Schizosaccharomyces pombe: one gene and its partners. Changing the gene in region 2 together with the main gene of any one other region gives a genetic interaction. Each region holds a gene or a part of one and is shown on either strand. Other genes may lie near its edges.

The links. Genes that interact genetically often act in the same process or in processes that back each other up.
Region 1: mutations in alp16 (region 2) and git5 together harm fitness more than expected from each alone (negative genetic interaction), as found in Schizosaccharomyces pombe (one large-scale study listed by BioGRID).
Region 3: mutations in alp16 (region 2) and spc34 together harm fitness more than expected from each alone (negative genetic interaction), as found in Schizosaccharomyces pombe (2 studies listed by BioGRID).

What each region holds. Positions count from the first base shown.
Region 1 is NC_003423.3:1,461,950-1,466,308, reverse strand, and holds git5 (heterotrimeric G protein beta (WD repeat) subunit Git5), read right to left. Parts: upstream 2,461-4,359; 5' UTR 1,984-2,460; coding exon 1,066-1,983; 3' UTR 564-1,065; downstream 1-563. Other genes in the region: putative alpha-1,2-mannosyltransferase Omh5, read left to right, coding at 1-171, 274-498; mug93 (TPR repeat-containing protein), read right to left, coding at 3,226-4,210. UniProt on the Schizosaccharomyces pombe protein: Beta subunit of the heterotrimeric guanine nucleotide-binding protein (G protein) involved in glucose-induced cAMP signaling.
Region 2 is NC_003421.2:431,721-436,806, reverse strand, and holds alp16 (gamma tubulin complex GCP6 subunit Alp16), read left to right. Parts: upstream 1-2,020; 5' UTR 2,021-2,132; coding exon 2,133-4,412; 3' UTR 4,413-4,543; downstream 4,544-5,086. Other genes in the region: ribosome biogenesis protein Rix1, read left to right, coding at 1-870. UniProt on the Schizosaccharomyces pombe protein: Component of the gamma tubule complex that is required for the regulation of both interphase microtubules and mitotic bipolar spindles.
Region 3 is NC_003424.3:3,673,136-3,676,709, forward strand, and holds spc34 (DASH complex subunit Spc34), read right to left. Parts: upstream 1,760-3,574; 5' UTR 1,660-1,759; coding exon 1,165-1,659; 3' UTR 564-1,164; downstream 1-563. Other genes in the region: ABC family Fe transporter Atm1, read left to right, coding at 2,391-3,574. UniProt on the Schizosaccharomyces pombe protein: Component of the DASH complex that connects microtubules with kinetochores and couples microtubule depolymerisation to chromosome movement; it is involved in retrieving kinetochores to the spindle poles before their re-orientation on the spindle in early mitosis and allows microtubule depolymerization to pull chromosomes apart and resist detachment during anaphase.

The DNA.
Region 1 (4,359 bases), on a different chromosome or scaffold from region 2:
GGATATTACGTTTTACCGGAGCCCCCTTTAAACCGAATTGATGGCCAGATTTATAATCTATGCCATTTTTGGAGTAACTTCGAAATTGCACGCTTAGACTTTTACAATAGTAAAGAGTATAATGAATATGTCGACGCATTGGAAAATGCTGGAGGATTTTGGACTGAAAGGGTATGTTTTTACAGTTTATTCAAAAAAAAAAAAGCATTGTGTTCTTCGAAGTGCAATCTTCTTCATACTTTTTTCCTATCTCTGATTACTAACTTATTTTAGTGGGGCGATGCTCCGGTGCATTCGCTAGCAGTGGGTCTTCTCCTTAATCGATCTCAAGTCCATTACTTTAGAGACCTTGGGTATCAACATTCCACAATTCAACACTGTGGTCAAGAATATGGTTGTAATTGTGATTGCCCCTTCAACATACCCGATTATGAAACTAAGCCAGGTTCTTGTATTAACGAGTGGGCATCGGTGATGGGGGGATTTTTAGATGAATAAGAGCGAATACGGGTACTTTACGCTCTTTGTATTATAGCTATTTACAGTTTCTTTCAATTCGTAGTATACATACATAGAATTTTATTTAATAAAAGAATTTAATATTTGGGTTGTTCTTTCATAAAAATAAGTTTTAAAAAACAGCAAGACAACATTTATAAAAAAGTTTATTATCATACGTAAGAAGAAAAATACCTTTAAGAAAAAAAGACTAAAGGGTAATCGTTAGGATTAAACGTTTACAAAATCGCAATAATTAAATAGTAATAAAAAAGCGCCAACCTTTGCAAGGCGAAATTTTCGAAAAGGTATATTTTTGTTTAGAAATAAAAGAGAAACGTAACGAAAAAAATAGGGAATTAGTACACAAGGGTTTATGAATACATTATCAGTAAAGCATCACGAAACCACGCATAAACGTATAAAAAATTAAGAAAAATAATAAACCAGTGGGACATGAAGCAGTCAACCTCCTAGAATCGAAAACGTAAATGTATAAGAAAAAAAAACAAAACAAACATCATCATTTCCAAAGACAAAAAAAAAAGGAGAAAAAAAATCATTAATTTACCCTGACGAAGACCAGAGACGAACACATTCGTCCCAAGAGCCAGTTGCCAACATTGTTCCATCAGAAGTTAAAGCTAAAGAGCTAATTCGATTTTCATGGCCTGTTAATGATGTGATGGTTTTGCTTGAGATGGAATCCCAAACCTCGCATGTTTTATCTTTTGCGATAAAAAGAAGTTTTCCAGACTTGGAAAATAAGACTGAATTAATGGGGGAGGATGATGGAGATGAATACTGGAATATCTCAGCAGAAGCACGAATGTCAAAGCACCGAGCGATACCATCCTCTGCACCCGTAACAAAATCAGCGTTAGAAGGAAAAAAGGAAATGGAATTAATATCCGATGTATTTCCGGGAAATGTGGCACAACAATAAGCAGCCCGAAGGTCCCAGAGCTTGGCTAATTTGTCACAGCCTCCGGTAACAAATAAATTGGGATTTGAGGGTAGGAAATCTAGAGAGACAATATCCATTTCATGACCTTTCAAAACGCTAATGGCTTTTGCCTGCTCTATGTCCCAAAACATGCAAGTTTTATCGCCAGAACCCGTAAGCAAATGACCGTCATCGACATACTTACAGCACGAAACAAATCCTGCATGCCCAACCAATTCGACCGGATCCGCATCTGGAACACTGGTATCGTATACTACGCAAAAGTTGTTCAGCCCTCCAGCTGCTATGCTCTTAGTGGAGGGTGAGAATGCACAAGTCATAATCCATACGCTTGGTGCTTCAAAGAACGCAACTTTGTTGGAAGTGTGCAAATCCCAAACTAACAGAACATCATTCGTTGATGCAGATAATAAGTACTTTCCATCTGTAGATATGTCGATGTCAGGAATTTTTCCCAGCTTGTTTTTGAGAACTCGAGTCCCTTGAATGTTGACGTTTACTCTTGACCCAGAATCCATCTTTAGAAATTGAACCAGTATTCCGTCTAATATTCATACAACAGTAACGTAACTGTTCCTATACGATATACTCACAAAGAAAGGGGAGGAAATAAGGATACTAAAGATCTTAGGAAGAAAAGCGAAAAGAATATAAATCCACCTGATAAACTACTCTCACAACAACAAATTTAGAATACTCCTACAGGGGTGCCCAACTTTAAATCCACCCTAAAGAGTAAAAAATAAAAGAAAAACAATACAAAAAAAAGGAAGAGAATAGTAATGGTGCTTCGTTTAAAGAATTGCAAGCTCTAATGTTAAAATTGGCGTTCGCCTTTGAAACAATTTTACGATGACAAGCCTCTATACAATCTATTATTCTAATACAAGCACAAAAACATAAACACCAAAAGGACCAACGTATCGTTTTTCAACAAACACAAAAAAACGGCTTTCTTCGCTTTTTTACTGGAATTTATGTAAAGAGCTAAGGTCAAAAGAAGAGTATTGGGAAACCGTCATAGTGTGTGCAGCGTAACACAAACATATGGAATACGTCATCCTCATCGTAAGCATATAATAGCCGATTCATTCTGCGGTTTTCAACTTGTAGACTACCATAACCTTGCCATACCGATAAAATTGTATGAAATGAACGTTTAGTTAATAGAGATAATAGAAAATTGAAAAACCTGCATTAGACATATATTTTTTTGCTGTTGTAGCGATTATGAGAAAAGGGTTGCTTTACCACGTTGGCTGTGTATCTGTGAAATGGCTTTGTTATAAATAAACAAGCAATTTAGTAACAGAGATGTAGATATTTTGGATATCTTTTTTATTTTGATTAAATCGTGAATATGCGATTCATGGCATATACTCAGAGTATGAGAAACGGCAGTATTGGTGTGCAACACAAAACTGTCTTGAAAGTTTTTTTGTCTCTTTCATTTTGTTCAATTTCTTTAACAATTACACTTAACATTTGACGGACAATACTTGTGTATTGGGTCGATGACTGTCTTCATTGCTTGGTGTATCCGGCGGTAAACAAAATGGCAAACATTTCTACTTTGCCCACAAATATATAGCTTCATGTGGTTGATAATGATTATTTCAGCACTGAAAATAAGAGGTTGATATACAATGAATGTGTTATTCATAAACTACACACGGTTATTAATGCCTTCTACTCCAAATGATTGCATCGATGGTTTCTGGACTGACTTAACATACAAAAATTTATTGTCATCAATGTTATCATGTGTAGCAATTGATTGGGATCTCTGCAATTTCAAATTCAGAAGAGAGATCAGTATTGTTGATGGGTTTTTTGGAAACATGCCAGTTTCTGAATTCTTCTTCTTGGATGTCAGGAATATGCAAAAGAATTTGAGCTGCCGTTATATGTAAACAATGTTGCACGACAAAACTGAACCACGGCAGCCCACTCAACGCTTGCATCAGCGATCGTGCCTTGTCGGACCATTGCTTGCAAAACCTTGAACACAATCCGATATAGTGTATTGATTTTAAGAATAAATTTAACTGCTCAACCGACATTCCATGAGCTTTGAACAATTGATTAATTGTGGAAATAGGAAATGAAAACGTTTCAATGTACAAACAGGGGGCAGATAGGACTTTTATCATATAAAGAAACTGATCTATGTTTTGAGGGCATGGGTAATTGGATCTGTACAGTTCCTCTGGGACCAATAGAGAGTGTTCTCCCTTAGTTATTTTATTTTCTAATTCGTCCTCCGAGCTTTCTATTCCGATTTGGGCGCTGGGCGAGTGATTTTCGGTATCATCCTTTGCATAAGTATTTGCCATGTAAAGCATAGACCGCATTGCTGAAAGATTCTCCTTTTTCAGTTCGCATTGCTGTCCACACAATTGGCAATTGTCGTGCACTTTCTTCCACCAGATCTTGCCACGAATTATATTAGGGTATTGTTTTCGCAATCCTACAGGTAATTGCTGAGAAGAAGCAACTCTAAGGTGTCTTAACTGCCATGTTTCTGCACATTCTCTGTAAATGTAATACACTTCCTTTAATCTATGAAGAGATTTTTGGATGTATGTATTGTTTGGGTCCAGTTCAAGTGAATGCTCCCAATCACGATTGGCTAAGTGAGGATGTCCAAGTCGCAAATAAGCTAGTCCTCTCCTCCATATCACTTTTTTATCATACGGATTGATGACTAGAGCATATGTACAGTCATGAACTACTTTAGTATAGCTGCATGCAAAATAAGTTAGTTAGCATAAAAGCAAAACTGCTGCAAAGGTTCAGACGATGTTTTTTTTTCTTTCGAGAAACCCCGTTAATAATCCAAAGGATTCTCTGAACCTTTGTGACATAGGTAATTTGTTAAATTTATTATGTTA
Region 2 (5,086 bases):
GTACCTCATGCAATACGTATAATTTCTGGTCCATTAGGGCTTGTACATCCAGATCCTCTGGTCGCTTCACACGCAAGGTCATCGATGCAAACAATAGAATCGCTGATTCATCCTAGGTTCCCACCTTTGCAAAAACATCTTTCACCAAGCGAATTTGAAAATACGTTTGAGTCAAGATTTGAGCCTGTTTCTCTTGAAAACCAATCGCATATTTCTCCACCCCAGGTGGATTCTCAATCAGAGTATAAAGAAAGTAGTATTTTGGCTCCATCAAATCCTCCCTTTGAAACAGAGTCGATTACAGATTCCACTGAAATTGAAGGGATCAAAGAGTCTTTTGCATCTACAGATACAGGCTTACAGAATAATTCTACAGCTACCTCCGAGAACAAAAGAAGCGAATCAGAGCTGACTATGTCTAATGTTCTTTCTAATGAGGGTGACAGAAATGAAGAAGGTAGTGAAATCAACTCTTCTCAACCTTCAACTATTAATCACGGGACTGATCACATTAACATTGTTTCGGAAAACAAGGAAACAACTGTTTCACTGTTGCATGGAGATGTTGAGGTTGAGGAGACTACAAATGTTGCATTAAACAATTCTCAGGACACTGAAACCAAATTTACTGCTATAGACGTTGACTTTGTTGACCGACCTACTAGTGTAGTTTCAAGCCAAATTGAAAACATAAATGGTGATGAAAATGGAAACACAACTTCTTCAGTCGTCGAAACTTTTGAAAAAACAACGGATGTCGTAGATGAGAAAACGACTTCTATTAATGTGGAAGGAAACGGAGAAGATGATGAGGAGGAAGACAATATCTCTTTGCCAAGTATAAACTTGGAATCTGATAGTGATAGTTAGTCTTAATTTATAAAAAGGATTTGGGGGTACTGAATGTTTATTTTAAATTCTATTTCTAGATAAGTAGGTTGTCATTTAATCCAAGCTGATTTTTATAAAGTCCTGTATGTATTATCGTCATGGCAAAAAAGGTACATCAAGCTGATATTTGGAGGTTAAAATCAATTGATTTTGACCTCCAGAATACATTGCTTATGTGTTCTCCTTTTTAATTAGCTAAATTTTCCAGTAATACAAAGTACAAAGTCTTGTGTTATCCGCAAAAATTTTTAATTAATCATTTTTATACCATTGGTGTCACAAAAATCCCGATTATTTTAGAGTTAGACTGTCGTTTATGTTTTTTGAGAAAGAATTAAAACAACTTATCTAGTCTAGTGTTTAAAAGAATTTTATACTGTTTCATTAAGAATAATGAAGATATCCCTTTCCAAAGGCAAAAGAAAAGTCGATAACTATATAATGCAAGCTTCTAAACAAACTTGAATTAGTGATTGCAACATTTCTTTTGCCAACAATATTTAAATCCTTCATTGCTTGACACATGGTTTTATGAGAAAAATTAAGAAAGAACATTAAGTACTTCAAATAAATTTGTTGAAGGATCCAAAATTCTCCAAATAGACTTTTTTTATATGAAGATACCATTCATTCAGCTTTGACTCGCATGCGAGCTCTCTGGACAATAAACGATCAAGCCAGCGAGGTATACTGTAACCATAATATCACGAATAGTACAATAAACTTTTTTTTAAAAAAATCTAAATGTACTAACCAGAGAAGCATAAAAGAGCTCTTATAGTTCCATAAAGGATACGTTTTATCCACATAGCACTCTCTTAAAATTAAATGCTGGAATGTCGTTTTGGATAGATTATGCAATTGTGCAATAGTAATTCCTTAACAACTGATAGTTTTTGTTCAATTTATCATTCTGTTTTATTCATCCTGGATACCTTTAACTCCATGTCAGTATTTTCTGTTGTACGGCCACGAGAGTACGGATTTTTGAATTGGTTTCAATGTTAGGATCAATTACTAACGTTCCATTTCTTAGTTTAAGAGACGCATACTTCATTCACATCTTCTAATCCTGACTGTTCTAGATAAGAAGTCATCTTAATTCGCTACGTTAACAACATTATACATTAACTACACACATATTGCCAAATTTTAGTAATTCATAACAAGAGTGTTTTCCAGTAAAGGAGTTGGATCTTGAAATGTACCACTAAAATAGATGATTTTGAAATAAAAATGGAATGGATGGAATTATGAAAAACGACTTGTTATGGTTCGGCAACCACGTTTTCGACCTTACGCCAAATTCATTTGATTCTGATTTTGTCGAGCAGCTTTCGAAATTTGAGGGAAAAGAAGGATTGAAGAGGAAGTTATTTGACTCCTCGGAATACTTTCAAAACTTTTCATTTCAAGTAAACGATGATCTGTTGGGAAAAGATGTCATTCTCGATATTTCAAATCAACAACTAACACCCGCTGTGCCTGGGTGTGAGACATCATCCAATTCCAAACTCATAAGCGCATCTAAGGAAATTACTTCAGAAAGAAAAAGAGCTAAATCCTCAGTGTCCCCCTCTTATCTTACAGATTCATCACCCAGCGATTTATCTGTCGAAAACAAAGTTCTGCTAACATGCCCTAGCTGGGATGGAGAAAATTTTAAAAATTTAGAAGCTAGATCTCCATTCATATCTGAAGCGCCTTCTCGGGTATATGATTATTTTCTTCATAATCAGGATTGGAGTCCGAAACCATTATTTTCTGCACTGCAAGTTTACCCTTTAGCAACTATTTTCAATTGCGTGGCTGGTTTACCACAAGGATTTGAAAGCACAGTGTTTCCATGGAACAAAACCTCAAGCACATTTGAACTCGATCCGACCATCTCCGTTTCAGGAATGTCCGATGAATGTTTTGCTAGTATCGTCCAGAAATTTTCTGCAATTGGGGGTTTAATAAAAAAAGCTTTAAATGAATTCTCTTTATACAAGACCAACATTTCTTTTTATTTATCAAATTTCATTGTGAATGGTGTCTTGCAGTATCGAAAGGAGTTTCAGCGTTGGCTTCGTCTTTATGAGTTCCGTAGATTCGGTCTGATTGGTTTAAGTAACTTTGTTAATTCTTTTTCTTCATTCTTTGAGTTAATTTCACACTTCTTAATAAAATCGGCTCAAAACCTAAAAGGAGATTCCTTGTTAGATTTTCTTTTTGATTATGCGCGTTCATGTCAGAATACCATATCTTACCCCATTGCCCTACAGTGCTTGATATATTGCTCAAATCCCTACTTCAAAAGGCTTGAGCTTGCTTTAAAAGTTTCTTGTGCGTATGGTCACATTGATTCTTCATTGTTCTTATCACTTCCCCGTTTTTTTCCTTCTGAACTTTGTGTAAGCATTGAACAGTGTATTCAATTTTTGTCATTAATAAGGGAACAAAAAGAAATATTTAATAAAAACAACAAAGAATTTATTAACCCTTTGAACATTCGGTTCGCATATTCTTTCAACGACATAAATCAAGCTTGTGTAATAGAGGAGCGCTGCAACTTTTCTTCGCTTTCTTTTGGTAATTTGGAACAAACTTCCGTCAATAATGACAGTGAAGAATTTGAAACGCTGCTTGCTAAAATGAACATGACTCCAGATTTCAACGATAATTTATTACAACTTAAATTTACAGATGATGTGCGCAACGTCTGTCCGCTTAACTTGAATGTTTGCTGCTGTATTGCTGAGCCAATACAATCTTTTATTCTCAGTTTCTTACGTTCGACATATAAAGTTTTAAAAAACGATTTTCAGGTGTTTGATCTTTTAAATTTTTTTCATTCCACTTTTCTTTTTCAAAATTATGAATTCTCTGATAATGTCATTTCTCTGTTAAAATCAAGAAGGCTTGATAAATCTGACCGTAATGAGTTGGCTGAGGACTTGAACTCTGATGACAGATATAATTTTATTTCTCGATTGAAAAAATTCATTTTTATGGAAAAAGAAAAAAATGGGTTGAGCAGGTCTTTATCTAAGAGTATAACTTTTACATTGGATTCTGCGAGCGTTAGTGAATTTGAGGATGTGTACCCTGATTTACAATTCCAATGCCAAGTAATAGGTGCTTTACGGATATTATTTACTGATAACTCTTTAAATTATTATTCGAAAACTTTTTCTTACGTTTTACATCTCTTTCAAGCTCAATCAGACTTTGAATCATCTGTCGAATTGAAAGATCGTTCTATAGTAACAAAAACAACTATTATGTCATGGTCTAAGTATCAAGGCACGAAAGAATCTCTTTTTCAGTTTCTTTCAATATACATTCCAGAGTGTATGTTGCCTTTTACGAAATTACTGAAATCCATATATTCTCCTGACTGTCCTACGAACATACAAAATTCTGCAATTAAAAATGCGGCTTCAGTTCACGAGCAGTGCACTAAAGCAATTTATCAAAAGGTCAAAGAGTTGTTTGATACCATGAAACTCTGGGAGTCATCCATCAAAGTGTCATAACAAAAAACCAGATCCGGATGACGGATTTTTACGAGTGTAAACATGCTAATCTCACCTTTAAGTTTGAAGAATATACGATTTTACAGCAGAAAAAAATTTATAAGCACAACACTTACAGAAAATTCCTTGCATAAAATGATAAAGAATGTAAAGAAGTATTTGGATAAATTCATGAGTAAAGTATTTACTAGAGATATATCTTAATCTAAGTTTAAACAACCTGTGCCAAACAAAAGGAAATTAATTTAACAAAGAAAGGGATGAAGAATTAAAAGGAATCAAAATAGAAATGAACAGTCAAGCTTATGATTGATTGTTTGAAGATCAAACATATCAAGGTAAAGTGCCATGATCACAGGAAAATACGCAATGTAGTTTAGTAAGTTATTTTGGTGCAAAAATATATGCGCTTTAATGGTGGAACATACCAGTATGTCCCACTTAATTTGCTCGTTCAAAAAATGCATGCAAAAAAAAAAAAAAAGATACAAATCTGTAAATACCTCACGCAAATATAAGAGTGCAAATAAAGACATGTTGAGAAAAGAGTAGAGGCAAAAGCCAAAAGATAAAAATCTTACTGGACGCCTATCACTTTGGTGAAGTTGAGGGTAAACGGACAAGGAATGCATGAAAAAGGAAGGAGGTAAGTGATAATTTAATGTTAGCAAGGA
Region 3 (3,574 bases), on a different chromosome or scaffold from region 2:
TCTTATGGTGTGTGTAGTTAGAAAGATTAAGGTGATCCACTAGCCTTATGTAATAAGTAAACAAATAAATAATTGTGAATACAATAACAAACACTGAAATAAACAACAGTAAGTGTATTCTTTAATTTTCCAAAGAAGAAGTTTTTCTTAATAAAGGTATTCTTATTGATCCTTTTTTATTGTTTTTTTTGAGAAATCGAGTAAATAATTTTTTTGGCGTAATGTGTGATTGTTAAGGTGGAGCAGCAGCCTTGGTATTAGCAATTAAAACATTCGTTCAAATTCTATCATTCAGTAACAACAAAAAATAATTATAGTTGACGAGTCAATAGAAACACTATGAACCTGACTTTTACTCTATATTAATAATCAAATATAGAATAAATACATAGTGTTCCATTACTTGCTATCATACTATGCTATTGAACTTTTATTTATATCTTAAATAAAATCTTTTAGAACTTTTAAGAACAAGTATGTACTTATGTTTGTATAAATATTAAGAACTCATTACAACAAATGAGTCCAATGCAAAAGCTGGCGTTGAGCCAGTAATCTAATTGCCGTCTTTAACTTATCATGAACATTATTGTATTTTTCACATACTATTCTATAAATGAGAATATTACAAAAACAATGAGTTATTATGCTCCTGAGTTGTAATGTACTTAGTTTGCTAATTATCTTCGTTCAATATCTTTGCCGCTTTAGAGAATTCCTGGAGCAAACAGTCCAAAGATTCTCTTCTCTTCTCTTTATGTTTTTCATATTCTAGGTATTCATAATCCTCTAGCTCTTTTGTAGCCTTCAAAGTAACAGTAGACGAACTTGCTTTTTTCTTAGCAAGCGACATTTCAATATGCTTTTTAAAGGATGATATATCAAAACATCGACTTCTTTTTTTCCTCTTCAGCTTCATCAGTTTGTATTGGGAGTAAGCCGATCGATCATCTGACGTCGAAGGATAACTGCAATCAGAAATATCTCGGGTGCTTCTTTGAGGATGTAACTTCAAAGGAATGAGTCCATGGTCTTTTATATCCTCGCTTAAATACATTTCTTGTTCTTTGCTCAAATCCATGATAAAACAACGACCTCGCTTCTCCTTTTCTAAATGTTCACCAATACGAAAAGTCGATCTGACTACCAACGCAAATAGCCTTCCTAAGATTGTATCAGTTGCTTCACTTTTTCAATTTCTCTTTCAAGTCTTTGGATTTCAGAAGTTTCACGCTGTAGAATATTCTCCCTAGCAGACACCTGATCGGTTTGTCGTTTTTCAAGTTGCTGCAATTGCTCTTTCTGTTCCAGTAAAACGTTTTCCAAATTCTCAATTCCTGACATATGTAAGTTGTATTTCTCAACCAGAGTCTCCAAATATTCACGGCCACCTTGCATAGGATATATATCTAGTAGTTCCTCAATACAAGCAACGTAGTCTGCAGGGTTTTCTGATGCCAACCTTTCACTCCAATCCTTCGGTAGAGATTTGAACTCAGCTGCAATTAGTTCTTCCTTCTGAGTATCGCGAATTAAATCAGTTATAGCATGAGTATGTAGCACCGCGTCTGTGAAACGTGCTGCGTTTGGGTTTTCCGGTTCCAAAAGTTTTTCTGATGTAGCAGCAATAGACTGTAAATAATTCAACAAATCAGACATTTATTTAATAAGTCATCAAAAACACTAATTCGACTCGTAATTAGTAAAAGGTATGTTTCAATTCACTTTACCAGAGTTGCCAAAAGTGTATGCAATCTCTGGGTGTGTGCAGGTGGTTTAACCAAAACGTAATAAACGTTTGGTATCTTTGATATAATGGAAATCACCTGTGCCTGTTTTTGAAATTCTGTTCTCGCTCAGCAAATTATTTTAACAAAGGTAAAGCATTGCGTTCATTCCTTGCTATTTTCCTTTATTTGCTACACCGAATCATTCTTACGTTTACGCTTTAGGCACACATTTCTTCAGCTCAGATTATCCATTAATAATTATATGTAAAACTTTTATAAAGGTTAATACACGCTAAAAATTTCGTAATCCTCAGTGCAGTTTTGATGAGTTTGCAATTGTTGGACTCTACTTCGCAATCGTGATCTAATCAAAATCTACAACTTTCTAAGTCTGCCAGATTTATAGAACTAAAGGTTTGAGAATTATCCTTCTCTTAGTTCTTTTATTCATATATACCATCTATTAAAAAGTTGCCTCTTTGGAGGCTATTTGAGGTTTTTCTGACTGAACGTTTCGTCTGTTTTTCATATTCTATCAGCCAAGTTTATTCTATTTAAATATAGATTTAAAAACTTTAATTATCTTAAATAGAAGAGCAGTATATTGGGTATAACTAACAGCTTGAAGCTCTGACATCTTAAAGTGTTGTATTAATAAAAATGCTAGAACGATGTCCCTGGAAATTAATCAGCTCGCCAAGAAATATTCCAGCTCGCTCTTTTCTTAATTCTCGTGGAACTTATCTTGTTTTAAGAAAGTCAAATATATTACCTCTTCAACATATACTGCGGTTTTCCAATTTTGCATCTAAGCAATGTTTCCCACTTAGAAATGGAAATAATTCGGCTTCAAAAGCGTTATGGAATAACAAATCAAAAGAAAAAGAGCCACTGAATACTTCTGTTAAACTTGCTTCCGATGTACCAGATGATAAAAATGTAACAGGACAAATGATTGTTAAGGACATGCTTCAATATATTTGGCCCAAGGGGAAGACTAATTTGAAAGTTAGAGTTGTTTCGGCTCTCGCACTACTTGTAGCTGCCAAAATTCTTAACGTCCAAGTTCCTTTTTACTTTAAATCAATTATCGATACCATGAATACAACACTTGTTCAAGAAGTAGGAGCATTGTGGTCTACTGTAGGAGCTGTTGTTCTCGGTTATGGCTTTGCTAGAATATTTTCTACCGTTTTTCAAGAGTTAAGGAATAGCGTTTTTGCAATTGTGTCGCAAAGCGCTATTCGAAGTGTTTCTAGCAATGTCTATCAACATCTGTTGAACCTTGACATGAATTTTCATCTCTCAAAGCAAACAGGAAGTATTACTAGAGCAATGGATCGTGGTACAAAAGGTATTAGTTTCATTCTTTCCTCCATGGTGTTACACATCATTCCTATTACCCTTGAAATTGCTATGGTGAGTGGTATTCTCACTTACAAGTACGGACCTTCGTTTTCGGCCATTGCTGCTACAACCGTTGCTCTTTATGCTCTTTTTACTGTTAGGACGACATCCTGGAGAACTGTATTCCGTCGTCAAGCAAATGCTGCTGACAGTAAAGCATCAGCCGCGGCAATTGAATCTCTGATTAATTATGAAGCCGTTAAAACTTTTAATAACGAATCATACGAAATGAGCAGATATGAAAAGCATCTTTCCGCCTACGAAAAAGCCAACGTTAAGGTAGCATCTTCTTTGGCCTTTTTGAATTCAGGACAGGCTATTATATTCTCTACCGCTCTTACTTTGATGATGTACATGGGTTGTCGTGGAATTGTAACTTCCAACCTTACTGTAGGTGACCTTGTCATGATTAACCAATTAGTATTTCAGTTGTCAAT